2 linked regions of the Styela clava genome follow. The protein of the gene in region 1 purifies or fractionates together with the protein of each later gene. This does not show direct contact. Links are inferred from orthologs where the notes say so. Each region holds a gene or a part of one and is shown on either strand. Other genes may lie near its edges.

Region 1 (10,720 bases):
TTACTGTGGATTTTGGGGAAGTCAAGTGTTGAGCTGACAATGACAAGGGGTGGAGGGTGTCAGCACATCAAACAGATGTGGTGACCCGAGACAGGTAAGATGAAAGCATGACCTTCTTATATTTTATTTTAAAAGAGACATATGTGCTTTCACGTAAACTTTGTGGAATACTATTCCATATTATGACACCTTTGTATTTCAGGGAATTTTGAGATTTGCTCAGTGAAAAGCGAGGTACGAAAAAATTGGACTTGGTTGAAGAGCGAGTGTTGTGTTCATGCACAGAGGTAAGCGAAACAAAATAATTGTCGAAAGCTGTGGGCAAGTGGTTGTTTTGAAATTGGTGCATAACTTTGGAGATCTCTAGAGTGTGAATGTCAGATAGTTTTAACACCCTTGTTTTATGGTATAGGGTGTTTAGGTTTGTACGAATAGATGCTCTAGAGAGGGTTCTAACAGCTTTATTCTGTAAGATCTCCAATTTATGAATGTTAGTTTGCGCTGCTGAGCCCCAAGCGGTTATGGCATATTGTATGTGGGATTGAAAGAGAGCAAAGTAGACAGTTCGCAGGGTGGCATCCTGGACATAATGTCTGAGTTTTCCCAATATCCCAACCGATCTCGACAATTTCTTATGTAATTCGATAGTATGGGTGTTCCATTTTAAATTATTATCTATATGGAGCCCGAGATATATATAGGATTGGACGACTTCCAAGGCAACCCCCCTGATTTTGATTAGAATGTTGGCATGTGTTGTTAGCGATTTTCGGCTGAAAACCATGACTTTAGATTTTTCGACATTTACAGTAAGTTTGTTGCATAACATCCACTCATATATTTTATTTATTTCTGAGTTTACAGTGTGTTGGAGTGTGGTCAAGTCTTTTCCACTAGCAAGCAGGCAGGCATCATCGGCGAAGAGCTTGGTTAGAAGATTAGAGCAGTTCGACAAGTCATTTACAGAGAGTAAAAAAGCCAAAGGCCCGATAATTGAACCCTGGACAATTCCGCACTGAATGGGCAACATTGGGGACTTATGAGAACCTAATTCAACAAATTGAAAACGACCACTCAGGTAATTAGCTAGTAGTTTGCTTACATTACCTCTGAAACCATAATGTTGCAACTTTTGAATAAGAATTTTGTGGTCCACCGTGTCAAAGGCTTTCTTTAGATCAAGGAAAGCACAGCAGACAAACTCACATTTATCTATTTTGTCATAAATATATGATGTTAAGTCTAGGATGGCATGGCTAGTAGAGTGGTCGGGTTGGAATCCGAATTGGCATTTATTGATCAAGTTGAATTTGGTACAAAAAATTAGCATTCTCTTGTATATTAACTTTTCCAGAATAAGACCAATTGAAGATAGAATGGAAATTGGCCGATAATTAGAGGGATTATTTTTGTTGCCGCTTTTGAAGATTGGTATAACCCTGGCAATCTTTAATGAGGAGGGGAAAATACCATAATTGAATGATAAATTAAAAAAGTGACTCAGTTCTGGAGAAATAATATCTGCAACTATTTTTAAGAAAAACGGGGAAATACCATCATGTCCAACTGCTTTGCCCTTTTTCAGGTTCAATATTATTTGGTGAACCTCGGAAGGTGTCGTTTGCTCCAGAAAAAAAGAGTGCTGTGAGGGAGCACTCAAGAAAGCTTTGAAAGATTTCTTGCTATGTGGAATATTGTCAGCAAGTTTCTTTCCTACAGATGAAAAGAATTTATTGAATTCGGCGGATATTCTGGCGGGGTCGGAAACTGTGGCACCATTTTCAAGCTCCAATTCAGAGACGATGGATTCATTTTTGGACCTAACTTTAATAATGTCATTGATAGTTTTCCAAGTGTGCTTCACATCCCCTCTGTTGTTTTCAAGGATATTATGGTAATACATTTGTTTTGATTTTCTCTGCAAGTGCGTCAAAATGTTCTTGTATTTTTTGAAGTGGAGACGCTGGGATGAGTTTCCCTTTAAGAATTTTTTTCTAAACATATTGTTTTTATGTTTGATGGACTTACGAATTCCTTTAGTAATCCACGGTTTAGAGTAAAGTTTATTTTCTCTACGCGAAAATGGTCTTAATGGAGCATGTTTATTAATCAACCATTTGAAGTGACTAAGAAAAAGATCGAATGAGCTATTGAAGTTTTCCTCATGTATGCTAATACTAGTATAATTGTTACAGATCGACTCAACCTCCAATCTGAACAGGTCAACACAAAATTTAGTCATGTCACGTTTCATGCGAGTGTTTGTCTTTATATTGCCAGTAGTTGCTGATATTGTGCACATTACGGGAAAGTGGTCAGTGAGATCACTGAGCAAAATAAATGATGAATTGCAGAAATTTACGGTATTGGTGTAAATATGGTCTATAAGGGTGTGAGAGGTCGAGGTAACTCTGGTTGGTTTGGTAATGAGCGGGCATATAAAATTAGTCATGAGCATGTCTAAATACTTGGTAGTGAGATTGTTATGAGAATCAAGAAGATTTAAATTGAAATCACCTAATATTATAAATTGCTTTTTAGCCATTGTCAGCTTCTCGAATAGACAGGACATTGCTGTGGTGAACGCTGGAATATTATTTTTGGGATGCCTATATATTACACCAACAACAAGATTTTGAATTTTTGAGGTTGGTTGGAAGTTCTTTAATTCAATCCAAATGTCTTCGCAGTTAGGAAATTCTAAGCCGAGTTTAGAGCATGCATGATAATTTAAATTGCTATCAATATAAAAACCAACACCGCCTGCTCGAGTTGGGGATGGAGCATGTATGAAGGTGTACCCAGGGATATTAACATTCGCAACACTGTCACTTATGATCCTGGTCTCGCTTAAGGCGATGATTTGAGGTGGAGTACAAAAATTGGAAATCAATTCAACTAAATTATCAGAATATTTAGGTAATGATCTAATATTAAGGTGCAAAATGATGAACTCTGAAGGTAGAAAACTTGACGTTACCCTGTTGATATCAGATATTTCAAGATATTGACTTGGGGTAGAAGAAATTTCAGGGTGAAAGTTGATAGATTCCCAGTTTGGGTTGGGATCACTGTTTAGGTCATAGATAGGTGATGATAATGGATACAATTTTAAAGAACATGTAATAGATTGTGATCAAATAGGCTAGTGCGATGGGGGGAATGTCATAGCTTGAAATTTTCCAAAAGATACTGAAGGTTCTTAAATAGGTCATAAGGGGAATTAATAATTTACTTAAGTATAGCAGTGGAAAAATCATTGGACTTATCTTATTTTATCCAGATCGTCTTCATCAGTTATGGACAGAGTGTTCGTGTCTTTGTTCTTTTTAATCAATATCTTGCCATTTGATGTCCACAGAAAGGCGTAACCACATCGCTTCTTGAGGACCTTCGCTTGGTAAAATAAGTTTTTATTTCTTTCGGTTAGGTTTTCAACCACGAACACCTTTGACAAGTCTCTTATAGATGTTGTATTGTTAGAGGTTTTGATCAAGTTTCGATTTTTGAGTATCTTGGCTCGGATTTTGCGGTTTGTGAATTTCGCTACAATTGGTTTATGGATGTTGGTATTCCTTGTTGGACAGCGGTGTGTTACGGAGATGTCTGAAGGCTTTATGTCTACATGGATAATTTTTCCGATTTGTGTTACTAGTTCATCAGTATCTTCATTTTCGGTTGATGGAATGCCATGAAATTCTAGGTTATCCATCCTAGATCGACGTTCATGTTCTTCTATTTTTTCTGTGACATAAAATAACTCATCTTCAAGATCGTAAACTAACTCTTCGAGATCTCGTATTTTTTTGCTATAAAGAGTAAGTTTCTCATCTGTAACTTTTTGCTTTGCAATAACTTCGTCATATTTCTCAGATTGGAAGCTTTGTGATTCTCTGATAGAAGCAAGGTCTTGTTTAATTTCTTTCAGAGATATCATCTGTTCCTCCATGCATTCTTTTAGACCTGGACTCATTGGTAGGTATTCTGATGAAAAGTTTGCAGAGCTGAAGTTTTCTGTTAAGCATTTGGCAATTAGGGATGGTAACTGGTTCATGATGTTTGTTTGTATTGCCTCCTGTAGGTTTATCTGGAAGTTAGAGTGTTCCTTCTGTTGTTGCAATACAGATCCAATTGGTGAAAGGCCTGGATCGGGAAGACTTCTACTCAGGCGTTGCTTAGGCTTTGGTTTGGTGGTATTATTGATCGAAGCCATGTTGTTGTGGATGTTTGAGATATACGCTGGAATTGATGTTAAAATAGGCAGCGAAGAATCAAGTTAGACTATTCTGCTAGTTTAGGTTAGATTTAAAACCTTAATTATACAGCGAATAATCAATGCCTCGTAGATGTTGCCTTTCTTCTCTGGCCAGCTTTAAACTTCATCAAGAGAGTAGTACAGCACTCTTGAACAGACTCAAGACTTCAATATTTGAGTTGGTGCAGGGGGAGAATCAAGTTAGACTATTCTGCTAGTTTAGGTTAGATTTAAAACCTTAATTATACAGCGAATAATCAATGCCTCGTAGATGTTGCCTTTCTTCTCTGGCCAGCTTTAAACTTCATCAAGAGAGTAGTACAGCACTCTTGAACAGACTCAAGACTTCAATATTTGAGTTGGTGCAGGGGGATACCGCCCGTGCAAAATAAAACCAGGTTTGGTTACTGAAAGCTAATTCTAAGCAGGTTAGAATATATAGAGACCGATTCGACCATTTCAACAGACCAGGCCGGCGCTAAATAAACTTCGTCAAATTAGATATAAAAATTGCTTGTCGCTGGGTTTCCAAATAGGTGTTTAAGACGCCGTATAGTTATTAGTTTGTAGATAGGAATAAGAATGAGGAGTAATTATCAATCCCACTTTCAACAGCGATGATTTTGCCATTTTCTTGTCCTTGTACAATTTGAGTTAGTCATTTTTTTTAAATTGCGGTGGGGTTGGGATGAGATATTTACACAGAGCTGGATACAGGTAAATCTGACATTTTCTATTTCATTGAAATATCCAGCTCTTGTTTATTCGAACCCACGCAAGATAATTAGAGTGGTGGCGAGCGTATTTCTAACGCTTAGCGCGATGCATCATACCGTGGAGCCGAGTTTTTAGTTTAGATTAAACACTAAATTATACTTTTGTTAAATTTTCAGTAGTTTCTACTTTTTTGTTGTCAAATTATACTATGTTGAGATACAAAAGAGCAATGCACAAATATATGGACATGAAGTAGTACGGTTATGCCATCTGTTACAAACAACGACTAACATACCGGTTACAAAAGACTACAAGTACCGGGGTCTTCAACGAATTCGCTTTGCTGTTATACGAACGCGGAACCGCCACAAGATGGGAATTTTTAATTTTGATGAATTCATCGCACACAAAAACAAATCATAAATTTCATACAATTTTTGGAAATAAATAAACGCAATAGCCTTCTAGCGAAAAATACAAACTCAGCATTGATCGAATCCCATGGAGCCCACAAAAAGTTTCGAAATAAATAAAAGTAATAACCTTTTAGCGAAAAATACAAACTTTGGTGCTCCTGTCGCATACTGCAGAAGTACCCAATCTTTAACCAATGAATATTCCAAAACAAATGATATAACAACAAAACGATTCATGACCATAGGTCCATTTCGTGTCCAAGAACAAAACAATCCACAGTTCTATTTTGTATCCAAAAACGTCCATTAGAAGCATGCTCGACTCCATACACCACTGTATTTTAGTTTTCATTGTCCGTCACTTTGAAGTTAATCGAACTACTACAACTAGCACGTGTGCAGACTTTCGTAAGGCGTAGGCAGGCAAAATGGTTTATTCCATGTTTTGTAGGAAAAGCACTATTTTAATTTAAAAGGTAGAAGTTTATTGCATTCAATTATTTACTTCAATTGTTCAATTGCTTCAATTGCTGTTTTTGTTAAATTGCTTTCAAAGTACTGCCCGATTGCAAATCGCGTTTTTCTGTGTTTGTTTTCATCTTTTTTGGTGGGCGGGCACGTACATTGTACGCTTTTTAAGTTATGCCAGTCTCTCAGGTATCTCTGCATTTTGTTTTGTCTGTTTACTTTTTGTATTGTTTATGTCAGAGAACCAAAATAAATGACCGGGTACCGGTACCGTACCGGTACATTACCTGCATACCAATTACGGTACCGGTAGTATTTTGGGGTCTAGTATAGTTTAGTACCACAAGTACTTCCGGTGGGCGTAGCATAACGAATTTTGCATATGCTATTCCTAACCCCCACCTGACTATGCCATCCAAAAATTACGTCACTACGGCGTCACCATCACGTCATAGAGATTGCCAAAGTATAATTACGATCGCCCGAAATGACATCTGCGCCGCCGATAACGAACTTGCTAAAGCCGGCGATCTCTCTCCTATAGTGATTGTTGTGGCGAGAAAACGAGAGAAATTGCTTGCTCGATTTCGGGTGATCGTCTGCGCGTTTTAAACGACCATCCACATACTTCTGTACTTTGGTGCCAGACTGGATTTCATGGCAGATGCACGCCCGAGGGCGCTAGCGCTCCACAAAAATGCACGCGAGCGAATTCAATTTTGCACGCCGAAAATTTGCAATTGCTCACCAATGTAAATCGGTTTAAATAGTTTTTAAATCAATAATCTAGTAATATAAAGATGCCAAAAAATTATAACTTTACAATTGTCGACTAATACTTTCTTGCAAGATTTGGCCTGATCGAAAAATGCGAAGCAAAAATCACCATATCGTGTTGAATGATAGGAATCCCGTGAGAAAAATCGCCTCCTCACCGACGCTGGGCAGTTATGGCTCTGATTCAGCGCATTTTTAATACAATAATTTTACACGGATGTACTGAACAGTACCGGTATCTAAAGTCGCACAAACACTCTCAAAATTAGTGACAAAATATAGAAATGATGTTTTGGGGTCAAAGGTCAAACGTCCATTTTTGCTATGATCCAACTTATTTTTACGCGGATGTATTGAGAGGCATCTTAGTTCGAAATCAGTTTAGCGGGCGCAGTTGTTTTGCACGCCAGAAATTCTTATTTGCACGCGGGAATTTCTGATTGCACGCCCGATTTCTCGTTCGAAAAGGCCCTGAAATCCAGACTGGCTTCGGAGGGCCTTATTACGCCACTGTGACGTCGAAATGACGTAATTTTTCGGTGACGTAGTCAGTTGGGGGTTAGGATTGACATATGCAAAAATTGTTGAGCCAGGTCAACTAGAAGTACATGTTGTACTAAACTATACCAGACCCCAAAAATCTTTACAAGTTAGTTATGGTATGAAACTACACGAGACCCATTATTTTGGGTTTGGTTGCCTTCATCCGATTATATGTAATACATACAGACATAGGCCAATGTTGAATAATTCATGTTTCTTATTATATTCTAATGCAAAGGATGAAGCGTTGTAATTAACTATGTTAACATCACATTTTCATGATCACAGGTACAAGCCTCTTGTCCACCATTTATCCCGGCTGCCTGGGGTGTATTAATTTGCTTGGCAATGCTGAACCAGAAATAAAACAATATGTCTTGCATATCCAGATATCAATGTATCTATAGAGCGTTTGGGGTGGACGCATGAAATCACTGTATAAAAAACAATATTTTTTATGATGTGATTCACATTTTTTCTGCATATTCAGTGAATGAACGAACGTAAATCGTGTGTCAAAGAGCCTCATTCACATGTACTCTTTATGTAATAATGTGTTAATAATATTTTGTTTTAAAAGATACCTAACAATATGGCGGATCATATTCAAGCTAAGCTTGTAACTCAGGATGAGAAATATAAGATTGCAGATACCATGTTTGAACTGCCGGGAGAAGTAACTGTTACAGAATTAACAAATCTCGTAAATAAAGTTTTGAAGGAAGGAGTCAAAGATGCGATAGATGATGAAAATGAATATCAAAATATGGAATTTGATTTTCTTGTGAATGGAGAGTTTTTGAGAATTCCACTTAACCAATACATCGAGAATAAAGGTATATCGACAGAAAAGGTTGTGGAAATTGAATACATTTTGAAACAAGAAAGTCCGAAACCAGAAGATCAATTTACACAGGATGATTGGATTAGCAGTGTACAAAGTACAAAAGAATTCATTTTGACAGGATCGTATGATTGCACTGTATCAATTTGGAATATGGATAGTTCAAAACCTTGTATATATGGTTTCGGTCATACAGAACCTGTAAAGGCAGTATCATGGGTAAATCGTGTCAATAATGATAAGACTGCTTATTTGATAAGCTCATCCCAGGACCAAAGTGCCATTTTATGGCAATGGGAAAAAGGTGAAGAAACTATAAAACCTTTATTTTGCTGCCGGGGGCATTCTAAAAGTGTTGATTGCGTGTCAGTTCATCCTGAAATGGAAGCCTTTGCTACCGGTTCGTGGGACAGTTCAATAAAATTATGGTCGACATCTCCTGTTCCACAAGATGACTCAAATGAGCCAGAAGATTTTCGAAAAGCAAGAAACAAGAAAAAACGTCAGCGTATAGAGCAGCGTGGTGTTACTAGAGTTCCAAAATCGACATTAGCAGGTCACCGAGAAGCAGTGTCATCACTTGTATGGTTATCATCTTCCGATTTATGCAGTGTGTCTTGGGATCATACAATCAATGTTTGGGACATAAATGAGGGTAAAGAAAAATTAAACTTGCGTGGAGCAAAAGTATTCTTAGCATGTGACTACTCTTTTCATAGTAATCTACTTGCGACCGGAAGTTCGGATCGGCATATCAGAATTTGGGATCCACGAGGAAAAGATGAAATATTCTCTAAAGGATCTTTAATTAAATGTAATCTAACTTCACATACTGGATGGATCACCTGTGTAAAGTGGTCACCCAGTAATCAATATCAACTAGTGTCTGGATCTCTCGATTATACAGTTAAATTATGGGATATACGAAGTCCGCAAACTCCACTTTTTGATGTGAATGCACACCAAGATAAAGTTATGTGTTTGGATTGGAGTAATGATGACATTATATTCAGTGGAGGTGCAGATAAAAATTTGTACAAGTTTCGATACAATTCTGTATCATGAAAATAAATACAGATTTTTAATCTGAGTATTCTCTTAATAATAGGAATAAGATTTGAGCCTATGAATTCACATTCTAAGTCTGACTGAATGTCTGCAATGTTTTAAACATCAATTTCTATCCTTTGATGATTTGGCTCACTTTAGCAAGAGAATGGATTCTAAATATTATGAGACGAAATGTAATCAATACCAGCTTCCTAACGCTTAGCACGATGCGCAACACTGCCGAGTCACTTTCCATGTGAAACAAATGTTCACCAAGAATAGTTCACGCTTATCAACTTCTCTTTGGATCATTGTTAAAAAGAAATTTACATCATATATTTAAACCATCTTCCGATAATATGTGACTTCAAAAATATTCTACCTATTTGTGTCCATGCCTCCGAAAACAAATAACTACTGTAACTTATCCCATACCCGACATGAAATGGTAACCGGACGAGAGGCCGTGGTTCGCCATATGGTTAAGCCGGCTTACCGACTTTCCTCTGCCCTGGGATAAATACTTGATAAATTCTAAATAGGGGCGCGGCTCAAAAAATTTGACAACCACTGCTATAGAGAGTCTTCATAGGCAAGGATGGAGCCAGTCCAAAATTTTGGAGGTGTGTCAATTTGTTTTTCAATACGACGCTTATTCATGCATTTCAAGCAACGGTGCACAACCTGCGGCCGTCGTGAAAAAATAGTGCGGCCGTACACCTACAAAATCCTATAAACAAAATAAAAGTTCAGAATAGAGGATTTGGCGGTTATGCTTTGCAAACTTGTATAGAACAAGAGAGCTACGCCCAAATATATGGACACGTCTGTTCGCAGTACGGTTTACCGTGCCGTCAGTCTACAAATATATTCACACCAAGCGAAGCAGTACAGACTAGTAGGACACAAAATGGCGTCCGATGCCCGCAGAACGTTTAATGACGTCATAGCAAACAAAAACAGATCTCTCAGAGCTAACAGAAATATTTAAAATGAGTAAAAGTAATAGCCTTCTGGGGAAAAATTTCATCTTCAACCACTGAAATTTTCAAAGCAATTGGTCCAGTATTCGAAGAGAAAAGCGGTTTTTTAATATTTCCACTAGGTGTGGTATTCTGTATCAAACAACAAGATCAACATAATATTGAAACGATCCACTACGTGTCCAATAAATTCATTAAAATATTTGACATTTTATTATACTCTTGGGGACAAGAAAGTGGGGAAGACCACCCCTCCCCCTTATCCGACTTTCGATTTTTTTTCAAAATTGTGCAACCATTATGCAACTTGCTACAATGTATCTGCTCAAGAATAGGTCCCCCGAAATAAAAAAAATCCGTTTATAATGCGAATATTATACTTCCAAGTAGTCCTACATACTTCATAATTGTGCAGACTGCACCTCGCATGGGTCGAATACGCGGTTATGACGTCATAAAAGCAAAAAACGCTCATCAAACCCCTGGTGGCCGTATTGAATACAAATAAATGCAATGTGGCCGCCAATAGCAGAAAGGTTGTGCACCCCTGCTTTCAAGGGTTTAACTCCAAAGGCATGTACAACGGCTAATAGTACTAATGACATCTTATAGAAGCTCTGCAGAGACTTTTCTGTCGAAGTTCTCCAAGCTATACAACGCGCAATCT
Region 2 (11,071 bases), on another chromosome or scaffold:
GGGGCAGTGCCACCGCCCCCCCACTGGTGAGAAAACGTGTGGAAAGCCACGCCCACTTAGGTAATATCGTTTTGGGGCTATTAGGAGCACTTGGAATTGGTTTTTGGGCAAAGTGATGCTCAAATCTCAAAGGGACCAATATATAGAATATTTCACCACCTCAACTTTGGGACATCCCCCTCCCAATCGCCCTCCAGTGGCGTAAGAAGGTTGCGCACCTAAAAACGAAGCTATCAGAGAAATAAAATAGATAGGTATGTTGGGAAAATTTAGTTTAATGCTTTTTTCAAGAAATTTTTTTTCTCTCACTCCCCAGTCATGGTCTAGTGATTTTGGCCTATTGCAGGCCTCTGAAAGGACCTGTTGAGAAAGTAAAGGCACGGGCATGTTTAAAAAAATTATTTGAATCTATTTTGAAAGAAATTTTATTTCTCCATCTCCTCAGTCACGCTCCAGTGATTTTACGTTATATCTGGAGAATGGTAGAAGGTAGAGGTGCCATATTTGGGTCATACAAGGTAGTTGAGGTCTAGTTTATGTCAAAAAAAATTCGTCACGGTTGAGTGATCACGGACCTTATAATTGGAAAAATTCGACTCCGGTTAGTGGTGATCAGTTTATTACAGGGTATTTGAACTTCTTAATGGACTAGCGGGGTCGGGGGGCACAGCGCCGGACGAATTTCCGTCATTCGTCCGGCGCAACGACCCGGGTCCTCCAACAAACTTCAAACAAACAAATGCTTCTTAATTTACTAAAAATATTTCCATACATTTCCCCTCGCGGGTAGCGTAGCGACCTTCCCCTGGATGCTATTCCGCCCACGTCAGTGCATATGGCAACGATAGTTGCAACAGAAATCGAAAGCCGGCGGCCAAGTGTATGATATGTGGGTAATATAGGCGACGGCTCTAGTAGTGAGTGTTTTCGGAGAACCGCAAATGGTAGAGACACGCCCGAGGTGTCAAAAGATGGGGGACGGGGGGAAACTAACAAAGAAAATTTTTCGGAACGATCGGGCCAGGGCAAGTGGGCCAAAACTGGCTTTTAGTGGCCCAAAGCTGCTGATTGGTCAATGGGCTGTCAGTCAAGTCACGCAAGAGTGATTTTGGGGTTTAGAAGCCGTTTGGCTGCGTTTCCGGGCCGGGAAACGGTTCGCCCGGGCATTGGGAATTTTTCCAAACATGTTTGGGGGTGGGGGAAGTGCCCCCGCCCCCCCAGTGGTGAGAAAACGTGTGGAAAGCCACGCCCACTTGGGTAATATGGTTTTTGGACGATTAGGAGTCTTTGGAATCGGTTTTGGGGCAAAGTGATGCATATTTATGGAAGGGACTAATTAATAGAATATATTACCACCTCAACTTTGGGGATTCCCCTTCCCCGTAACGGTCCAGTGAGTTCGGAATGTTGCGCTTAAGATTTGAGATATTGAGGAAAAAAAATACATAGGTAGGTTGAGAAAGTTTAGTTTAATACTTTTTTCAAGAAATTTTTTTGCTCCCGTGCCTCTGTCACGGTCTAGTGATTTTGGTCTTTTGCCGGCTTCTGAGAGGTCATATCAAGAATCTAAAGGCATGGGCGTGATCAGAAAAATTATTCCAATCACGTATCAGCAAAATTTTTTTTCTATTAGCCTTCAGTCACGGTCCAGTGATTTTAGGCCATATCTCGAGAACGGTAATAGATAGGGGTCTCGTATTTGGGGTATACGAGGTAGTTGGAGTAAAGTTTATGCCTATAGAATTTCGTCACGGTCGAGTGATCACTGACCTCAAAATTGATAAAAATATACTCCAGTCCGTACCGTTGAAACCCTTTATGTTAGGGGGGGCCGATGGCGTCGGTCGGATCATGCCGCGATCCGTCCGACGCAACAGATTGCGGCTCGAGCGTCGTAGACAAAACCGGCCTGAGCCCAACCAACCATTTGTGCGCCCGCGGCCCCCCTCGTCGTGTGCCGCAGGCAGACGTTTATTCTGGATGCTATTCCGCCCACGTCAGTGCATATGGCAACGATAGTTGCAACAGAAATCGAAAGCCGGCGGCCAAGTGTATGATATGTGGGTAATATAGGCGACGGCTCTAGTAGTGAGTGTTTTCGGAGAACCGCAAATGGTAGAGACACGCCCGAGGTGTCAAAAGATGGGGGACGGGGGGAAACTAACAAAGAAAATTTTTCGGAACGATCGGGCCAGGGCAAGTGGGCCAAAACTGGCTTTTAGTGGCCCAAAGCTGCTGATTGGTCAATGGGCTGTCAGTCAAGTCACGCAAGAGTGATTTTGGGGTTTAGAAGCCGTTTGGCTGCGTTTCCGGGCCGGGAAACAGTTCGCCCGGGCATTGGGAATTTTTCCAAACATGTTTGGGGGTGGGGGAAGTGCCCCCGCCCCCCCAGTGGTGAGAAAACTTGTGGAAAGCCACGCCCACTTGGGTAATATGGTTTTTGGACGATTAGGAGTCTTTGGAATCGGTTTTGGGGCAAAGTGATGCATATTTATGGAAGGGACTAATTAATAGAATATATTACCACCTCAACTTTGGGGATTCCCCTTCCCCGTAACGGTCCAGTGAGTTCGGAATGTTGCGCTTAAGATTTGAGATATTGAGGAAAAAAAATACATAGGTAGGTTGAGAAAGTTTAGTTTAATACTTTTTCCAAGAAATTTTTTTGCTCCCGTGCCTCCGTCACGGTCTAGTGATTTTGGCCTTTTGCCGGCTTCTGAGAGGTCATATCAAGAATCTAAAGGCATGGGCGTGATCAGAAAAATTATTCCAATCACGTATCAGCAAAATTTTTTTTCTATTAGCCTTCAGTCACGGTCCAGTGATTTTAGGCCATATCTCGAGAACGGTAATAGATAGGGGTCTCGTATTTGGGGTATACGAGGTAGTTGGAGTAAAGTTTATGCCTATAAAATTTCGTCATGGTCGAGTGATCACGGACCTTAAAATTGATAAAAATATACTCCAGTCCGTACCGTTGAAACCCTTTATGTTAGGGGGGGCCGATGGCGTCGGTCGGATCATGCCGCGATCCGTCCGACGCAACGGATGGCGGCCCGAGCGTCGTAGACAAAACCGGCCTGAGCCCAACCAACCATTTGTGCGCCCGCGGCCCCCCTCGTCGTGTGCCGCAGGCAGACGTTTATTCTGGATGGTTAGGCAACCCGAGAGCACTGAAAGTGCGTATGCACAGTATAGAATCAAATTTCGTTGCACGAAAGTCAATAGCTAAAGCTAACTACTCTAAGCGACCGTGAATCACTATTATCTGAAGAACCACAGGGCCGATCCGGACGAAACTTTGCATGTAGCGGGGGCTAGTTACCAAAAGAACACAGAAAATTTTTGGGAGCGATCGGGCCAAAGGAAGTGGGCCAAAACGGGATTTTAGTGGCCCGAAGCTGCTGATTGGTCAATCGGCTGTCCGTCAAGTCACGCGAGAGTGAGTTTGGGGTTTAGAGGCCGTTTAGCTCTGTTTCCGGGGTCGGAGAGCGTTTGCCCGAGTATTGGGAATTTTTCCAAGTATATTTGGGGGTGGGGGCAGTGCCACCGCCCCCCCAATGGTGAGAAAACGTGTGGAAAGCCACGCCCACTTAGGTAATATCGTTTTGGGGCTATTAGGAGCACTTGGAATTGGTTTTTGGGCAAAGTGATGCTCAAATCTCAAAGGGACCAATATATAGAATATTTCACCACCTCAACTTTGGGACTTCCCCCTCCCAATCGCCCTCCAGTGGCGTAAGAAGGTTGCGCACCTAAAAACGAAGATATCGAGAAATAAAATAGATAGGTATGTTGGGAAAATTTAGTTTAATGCTTTTTTCAAGAAATTTTTTTTCTCTCACTCCCCAGTCATGGTCTAGTGATTTTGGCTTATTGCAGGCCTCTGAAAGGACCTGTTGAGAAAGTAAAGGCATGGGCATGTTTAGAAAAATTATTTGAATCTATTTTGAAAGAAATTTTATTTCTCCATCTCCTCAGTCACGCTCCAGTGATTTTACGTTATATCTGGAGAATGGTAGAAGGTAGAGGTGCCATATTCGGGTCATACAAGGTAGTTGAGGGGTAGTTTATGGCAAAAAAAATTCGTCACGGTTGAGTGATCACGGACCTTAAAATTAGAAAAATTCCACTCCGGTTAGGGGTGATCAGTTTATTACAGGGTATTTGAACTTCTTAATGGACTAGAGGGGTCGGGGGCACAGCGCCGGACGAATTTCCGCCATTCGTCCGACGCAACGACCCGGGTCCTCCAACAAACTTCAAACAAACATCTGCTTCTTAATTTACTAAAAATATTTCCATACATTTCCCCTCGCGGGTAGCGTAGCGACCTTCCCCTGGATGGTCAGGCAACAGTGTAGCACTTTAGTGCGTATGCACAGTAATGGTCAAAAGACTTTGCGCGTAGGGCAAAAATAATGTGACGAAGTCTCTTGGCTAAGACCCATCGAGTTACCATTTCCCAGAAAACTGGCGGGCCGATCGGAACGAAACTTGGCATGTAGTAGGGTGCAGTTACCAAAATAGCAAATAAAATTTTTCAGAACGATCGGGCCAAAGGAAGTGGGCCAAAACGGGCTTTTGGTGGCCCAAATTTAAGGTTGCGTGACATTAATTATTTCAAGCTGTCAATCAAGTCTCGCAAGAGTGATTTTGGGGTTTAGAAGTCGTTTAGCTGCGTTTCCGGGGCCAGAAAGCGTTTGCCCGAGTATTGGGATTTTTTCCAAGTGCAATTGGGGGTGGGGGCACTGCCACCGCCCCCCCAGTGGTGAGAAAACGTGTGGAAAGCCACGCCCACTTAGATAATATGGTTTTTGGGCTATTAGGAGCACTTGGAATTGGTTTTGGGGCAAAGTGATGCTTAAACCTCAAAGGGACTAATATATAGAATATTTCACCACCTGAATCTTGGGAATTCCCCCTCCCAATCGCCCTCCAGTGGCGTAAGAAGGTTGCGCACCTAAAAATTGAGCTATCGAGAAATAAAATAGATAGATATGTTGGGAAAATTTAGTTTAATGCTTTTTTCAAGAAATTTTTTTTCTCTCACTCCCCAGTCATGGTCTAGTGATTTTGGCTTATTGCGGGCCTCTGAAAGGACCTGTTGAGAAAGTAAAGGCATGGGCATGTTTAGAAAAATTATTTGAATCTATTTTGAAAGAAATTTTATTTCTCCATCACCTCAGTCACGCCCCAGTGATTTCACGTTATATCTCGAGAATGGTAGAAGGTAGAGGCGCCATATTCGGGTCATGCAAGGTAGTTGAGGTCTAGTTTATGTCAAAAAAATTTCGTAACGGTTGAGTGATCACGGACCTTAAAATTGGAAAAATTCGACTCCGGTAAGGGGTGATCAGTTTATTACAGGGTATTTGAACTTCCTAATGGACTAGAGTGGTCGGGGGCACAGCGCCGGACGAATTTCCGTCATTCGTCCGGCGCAACGACCCGGGTCCTCCAACAAACTTCAAACAAACATATGCTTCTAAATTTACTACAAATATTTCCATACATTTCCCCTCGCGGGTAGCGCAGCGACCTTACCCTGGATTCTTTTTGATGTTTTCCTTTTAAGTTCTTCAAACTTCGTTAATACTTTTTCCCATTTATCTTATCCAGTAAAATATCATTTATAACTACGGATACCAATATAAATCTGCTTATTTTCGCATTCTCTAATACATTTCAGTTTTTGATTTTTGTGCTTTGTCAACTTGATAATTGCTTCTTTCCATATAATGCTTCAGAAATGACCATTAGATATTTTTGCCATGCAATGTCTCCTGTATCAGAATTGCATCGGTGTAACGACGGTGGTTGGAGTCCTGTTTTTTACGAAGGGTTTGTTTTCACGTTTTTGAAGAAAAGCACAAGCATGTCACCATGCGATGCTTTTGCCATATTTTCCCATGCTGACCTACTGACTGACTGATAGTGCCTGATTATTGAAGAGTTTTTTGTCAGCAAGTTTGTAATTGATTGATTTATTTTTCTGTCCAGAGTAGCCTACCGTACGTCTGTCTGTACGTACCATACCGACATACTTTCCTGCTGTCAGGTCAGGGTACCGGTATTGCAGTATTGCATAAACAATTTGATTTGTAGTAATTAAAAAGATCTCACACTTGGATTAGAATGAGGAAGTCAATTGAAAAGCGGAAGCTGGATGACGATAGTAATAAAGTAAGTGACAATTCTGTAAAACTGAAGATTTTATTTCCAGATTTTAAAATATTTAAAATTCCACAAACTTTCAAATATTGGTAACGTCATAAGTTATTACTACTGACATAAACAGCATTGGGACCAGCAGTTACTAAATTACCTGACCTAACCTACTCCAGTACTCCTCTATGCACTAATCCTGTAATCACATATGCAGATATGAGACAATATAAATACTGAAATATTTTTTGACGGTCATATTATTATTCTATTTATTCAGATTCTTGACACTAATATAAAGATAGAGGAGTCCTCTGAAGATGAACTGAGTGAAAATGAGTCAGGTAATTAACATTGTGTTTATGAAATTTATTGATCTTGTTAAATTCCCGAGAACATTTTCATCAATTCATTTCTTAAAATTTTGACTCAATCTGTCACTCTTGGTAACAAAATTTTTTCTAGAAAATTTCATTTTCCAATCCTACCTGCTCAAATAATCATGCTTGAAATTTCAAACCCTGGGAGTCGAAAACATTTACTTTATGAAGATTCAAACATGACGCCATTCCAATTAAAGCACGAACAGAAACATCGGACTAAAATTCCAATAATATGTCTATATTTATTTTGCGAGGTTTTGCTCGCTCTCCAGAATTTTCTCTTTCTATTAGTGTTTATTAATGTATGAATTTTTCAAGATTAACTATCTATCTTATCCGCACTGCTGAATGGATTCATTTTGTCAATATTTACGCTATTGTACGCCAACTCAATTTTTTGGGCTATGCTTTATTCCATTCATTATTTTCCCAGATTTTGATTTATCAAGTGAAGATTCTGGTGTTGATGAAGATTATTTAAAATTGAGTGATGAAAGAAATCAGGATCAAGAGAAAACAGAATCTTCATCAATCATAAAGCGAGTAACACCATCCTCTGACGTTACAGATGCCAATAATGATGATAATGACACATCTGATGAAGAGGTAACATTGTATATAATATAAGAATATCATAGATCTGTTGAATGTGCACTTCAACAAAGTCTGTTGTTGCGAATATCCAACAACAAATAATCTTTGAGTGAATTTGTCTAAAAAAACGACATCAAAAGAAAAATATCATTCAGAAAGGTCTATTGCTAAAATTATTATTATTATTAAAATTATAAAATGAATTTTTTATCACATTTATTTGAAACATTTAATTTAATTTTACATTTATTTGAAACAGAACCATAAAAAAATATAGTCTATAATTAGTTTTACCCAGCTTGTAATAAATTAGATAGGCAATGTCGAACGAGAACGATTCCACACATGTCATTAGATATCAGTTGCTGCTAGTACAAGTATGAAAGACATGAGTAAGCGTCATATGGAAAAGAAAATTTCTCAGAGATAGCCAACAGTTTTCAAATTACTGCCTATTGCTAAATGTGAATATCTCAATTCGAATCACCTGGCGTAGCACCATTTTTCCTCCCATGTTTCCGATGGTGTTTATGTAATATGTATATTTTCTTCATTTACAGGATATTAGGAACACAGTAGGAAATATACCTATGAAATGGTACGAGAATTTCCCACATATCGGTTATGACTTGGATGGGAAACAAATATCTAAACCCATCAGAAATATGGATGAACTGGATAAATTTTTAGACAAAATGGACAATCCTGATTATTGGTAAGATATTGGAATCAAGGATTTATTTTTTTATTTAAGGAATTTTAATAATTTATTGTCTGGTGTTTCTATATTACAGCTGTACCTTGTGTTTTCTACAATTCTTGGTTAAATAAGAGTCTCTAAACTCTTTACTTTAATGATCTGGGCTTTGAAAATATAATATGGGTAATATCTGAACCACCTACTGCTGTCTATAGTATTGGTGCTAATTCTATTTATGATTTCATTTTCTCAGGAAAACTGTTTATGATGAAAACACAGCTCGTGATCATAAATTGACTGAAGATGAATTGCAACTTGTGTCAAGACTTAAGACTGGAAAATTTTATAATTCAACAATCGATCCCTATGAGGTAACATATCAATTTGTTTTAAAAATAAGCGTCAAACTTGAAGACTTAATAAGGGAATAGATACATAAATTATTTTCCCCTAGATTTTGTGAGACATACCTTTAGTGGATTTTGTTGGTAAAGCAGGTATAGACTCAGGTGTACTCCTGTATTTTGTGTACCAGGTCAGGGTTGGGCCATAATCTTATTCCGATTTTTCTCATTTTAGTTCTATTACGAGTTCGTGGACTGTCTGTGTTAGCCAAGTGAATATACCCCCTGCCCATAGGTTTCAGTCCCTTTATACAACTTGATGTAAAGTAAGCGAACAAAATTAGTCACCTCCATTTTGGTACACACACTTCTGGAGCGTCGTTATAGGTATGAAATAAAAAAAGAGTATGGAAGCTCGGGAATAGGAGATATGTATCTCAGTATAATTAGCCTCCCTGGCTTGTTTCTATTGAATGAAGGAAGTTTTTGCTTTTTATTTCAAAGATCTGGATTATAAGGTTTTGTCTTTTGCTATTTAGCCTTATGTCGATTTCTTCACACATGAAAAAATGATTCATCCTATCAACAATGCACCAGCACACAAGAGAAGTTTTACACCATCACATCATGAAAAACTTAAGGTCAGTAGTAAGAATTTTGAGTTGGCGAAATGAAACAGTTTGCTATTTGAATTGTGACCAACAGGTATATGTTTGATGGCTAGAACTGTATTTCAACAAAGTGTTTTTGTTTTAAAATCATTAAATATTCATCTTTCAAAATGATCAAATGGGAATGGGTTAGGCTTTTCAGTTTCCATTCAAATTTTGACCTTGCTCACCAGTATTGGAAGTTCAAAATTTCGAACGAATATTTCCCGAATTCTCCGGGAATATTGAAACACAAATCTGGCCTCGACTCTGATATTAATGTAAACACGTAAAACTACAGATTTAACAGTTTTTGTTGAATACATTTCTAGGTTGGGAAACTTGTGCATGCCATCAAGATGGGTTGGTTAAAACCTAGAAAAGAGAAAAAAGAAGATGAACAACCTGTATTTTTTGATTTGTGGGCAGATAGCAAAGATGAAAACTTGGTGAGCATAAAGAAAATATGAAATTTTTGCTCAATTATCGGTTTCAAATATTTTGAAAAAATTACTATGTAGGCCACTCTGTAAATATTCTAGTCTGCATAGATCGTTTGCCTGTTTACTAATTAAATCCATAAACATGAAACATCCAACTTCTTGGCTATTCCTAAAACTGGTAACTCGTAACGGTATCAGAAGGCATGGTTTGTCATATGATTATGTCTCTCTCTCTCTCTCTCTCTCTTTGTGATTGCAATAATAATTGAATAGTAAAATATTTTATATTTTTTCTTGTATTAAATTCCAGTCACACAGTCAAATTGCTCGTCGTAAGATGCATATTCCTGCACCAAAAGTCAAATTGCCAGGACATGAAGCTTCTTATAATCCTCCACCTGAATATCTAATGTCCGAAGAAGAGGTGACTTTAATTTTTTCTTTTAGCTTATAAATCATCCAGTAAAAGTTTAATAGAAGATTACCCATCGTGGAAAGTACTGTTTTTTTCATTATTTCAACGAAATTTGAAGTTGGGAGTTTAGTACATTTTATGATTTTTTCGAGAATTGTGATATATTAAAATTGTATCGGACCTGTATTCGCAACCAACGTCAATTTTCTAACCCAGTTGTTCTCTACCGGGGTTTCACCGGGGCAGTCATGGAGTTCTACAAGTTTCCATTCAAATTCGAGAATGTTTATATGTATATTGTTCAAATATAATACCTATTAGGTTTTTCCTCTATTATTAAACTTGCTACGCTGATAAAGACACTCTATTTTTAATAGCAATTTACTCGAATTATCCTATTTCAATCAAAAAATACTCTATCTAGAGACTGGCATGGGAACAAGAGGATCCAGAGGATAGGAAAACAAATTTTGTGCCTCAAAAATATGATTGTTTACGGAAAGTTCCTCAGTATCCTAAATTTATTCAAGATGCTTTTGCAAGATGCCTTGATTTATATTTATGTCCAAGACAACGAAAAATGAGAGTAAGTTTGCATTTCTAGTCTTCTGGCTGAAAGGGGGCAGGATTTCATTCTTTATTTGAGAAACTAGAGCACAAATTCCCAAACTTTAAAGTCATAGATTTACTGTCTGTAATACAAACTTTTGGGGAGAAACTTTCACTTTACTGATTAAATTATCAAATTTTCATAATATATGCAAATTTGATCATGCGATGCACAAGTTTGCTTTTGTGTGCAAAAAGTCATACAATGTTACAAGTGGTCTCTGAAAAGATTTGATCATTTTATGTCAAGTTCTAAGTACAGGTAGTAACGCAAATTTGTGAAATCAGTTTGCTTCTTGACGACAATATAAAAATCTTTTTGACTTTGTGTACCATGTATTATTTTATGTGGTCCAATTTCATTTGCATGAAATCACTGATAATGTGAGACGCTCTTCTGCATAAATATATTTTGGTAATTGCGTCTCTATTGCTCCAGAGTGAATATCGTAAATTCAAATTTTTGGATTGTCCAATCAAACAGTGTCTGAATTCTGGTACAACTTCTTCTTCCATAAAATGATCTTCCAACAATTTTTCCAGGTTAATGTTGATCCAGAAGATTTGATTCCAAAATTACCAAAACCGAGTGACTTGCAACCATTTCCTACAGTACAAGCTCTATGTTATCGAGGACATGAAAATATCATTAGGTCCATTTCTGTTCATCAATCTGGACAATGGATCGCTTCAGGTAATTAATTGCTTTACATTACAATAATTTGCGTGATTTTTGATATTCCAAATACAAATATATTATTAATA

What was found.
Region 2: the proteins of ribosome biogenesis protein wdr12-like (region 1) and ribosome biogenesis protein bop1-like purify together in Homo sapiens (affinity purification with western blotting; 6 studies listed by BioGRID and IntAct, with this or other methods). This does not show direct contact. The link is inferred for Styela clava from reciprocal best matches to the Homo sapiens genes WDR12 and BOP1.

The regions. Positions count from the first base shown.
Region 1 is NC_135261.1:8,152,042-8,162,761, reverse strand, and holds ribosome biogenesis protein wdr12-like, read left to right. Parts: upstream 1-6,015; 5' UTR 6,016-6,030; coding exon 6,031-6,045; intron 6,046-7,756; coding exon 7,757-9,085; 3' UTR 9,086-9,105; downstream 9,106-10,720.
Region 2 is NC_135260.1:8,268,597-8,279,667, reverse strand, and holds the start of ribosome biogenesis protein bop1-like, read left to right. Parts: upstream 1-5,881; 5' UTR 5,882-6,138; coding exon 6,139-6,186; intron 6,187-6,448; coding exon 6,449-6,512; intron 6,513-6,984; coding exon 6,985-7,157; intron 7,158-7,705; coding exon 7,706-7,860; intron 7,861-8,098; coding exon 8,099-8,216; intron 8,217-8,728; coding exon 8,729-8,830; intron 8,831-9,171; coding exon 9,172-9,288; intron 9,289-9,592; coding exon 9,593-9,706; intron 9,707-10,121; coding exon 10,122-10,283; intron 10,284-10,849; coding exon 10,850-11,000; intron 11,001-11,071. UniProt on the Homo sapiens protein: Component of the PeBoW complex, which is required for maturation of 28S and 5.8S ribosomal RNAs and formation of the 60S ribosome.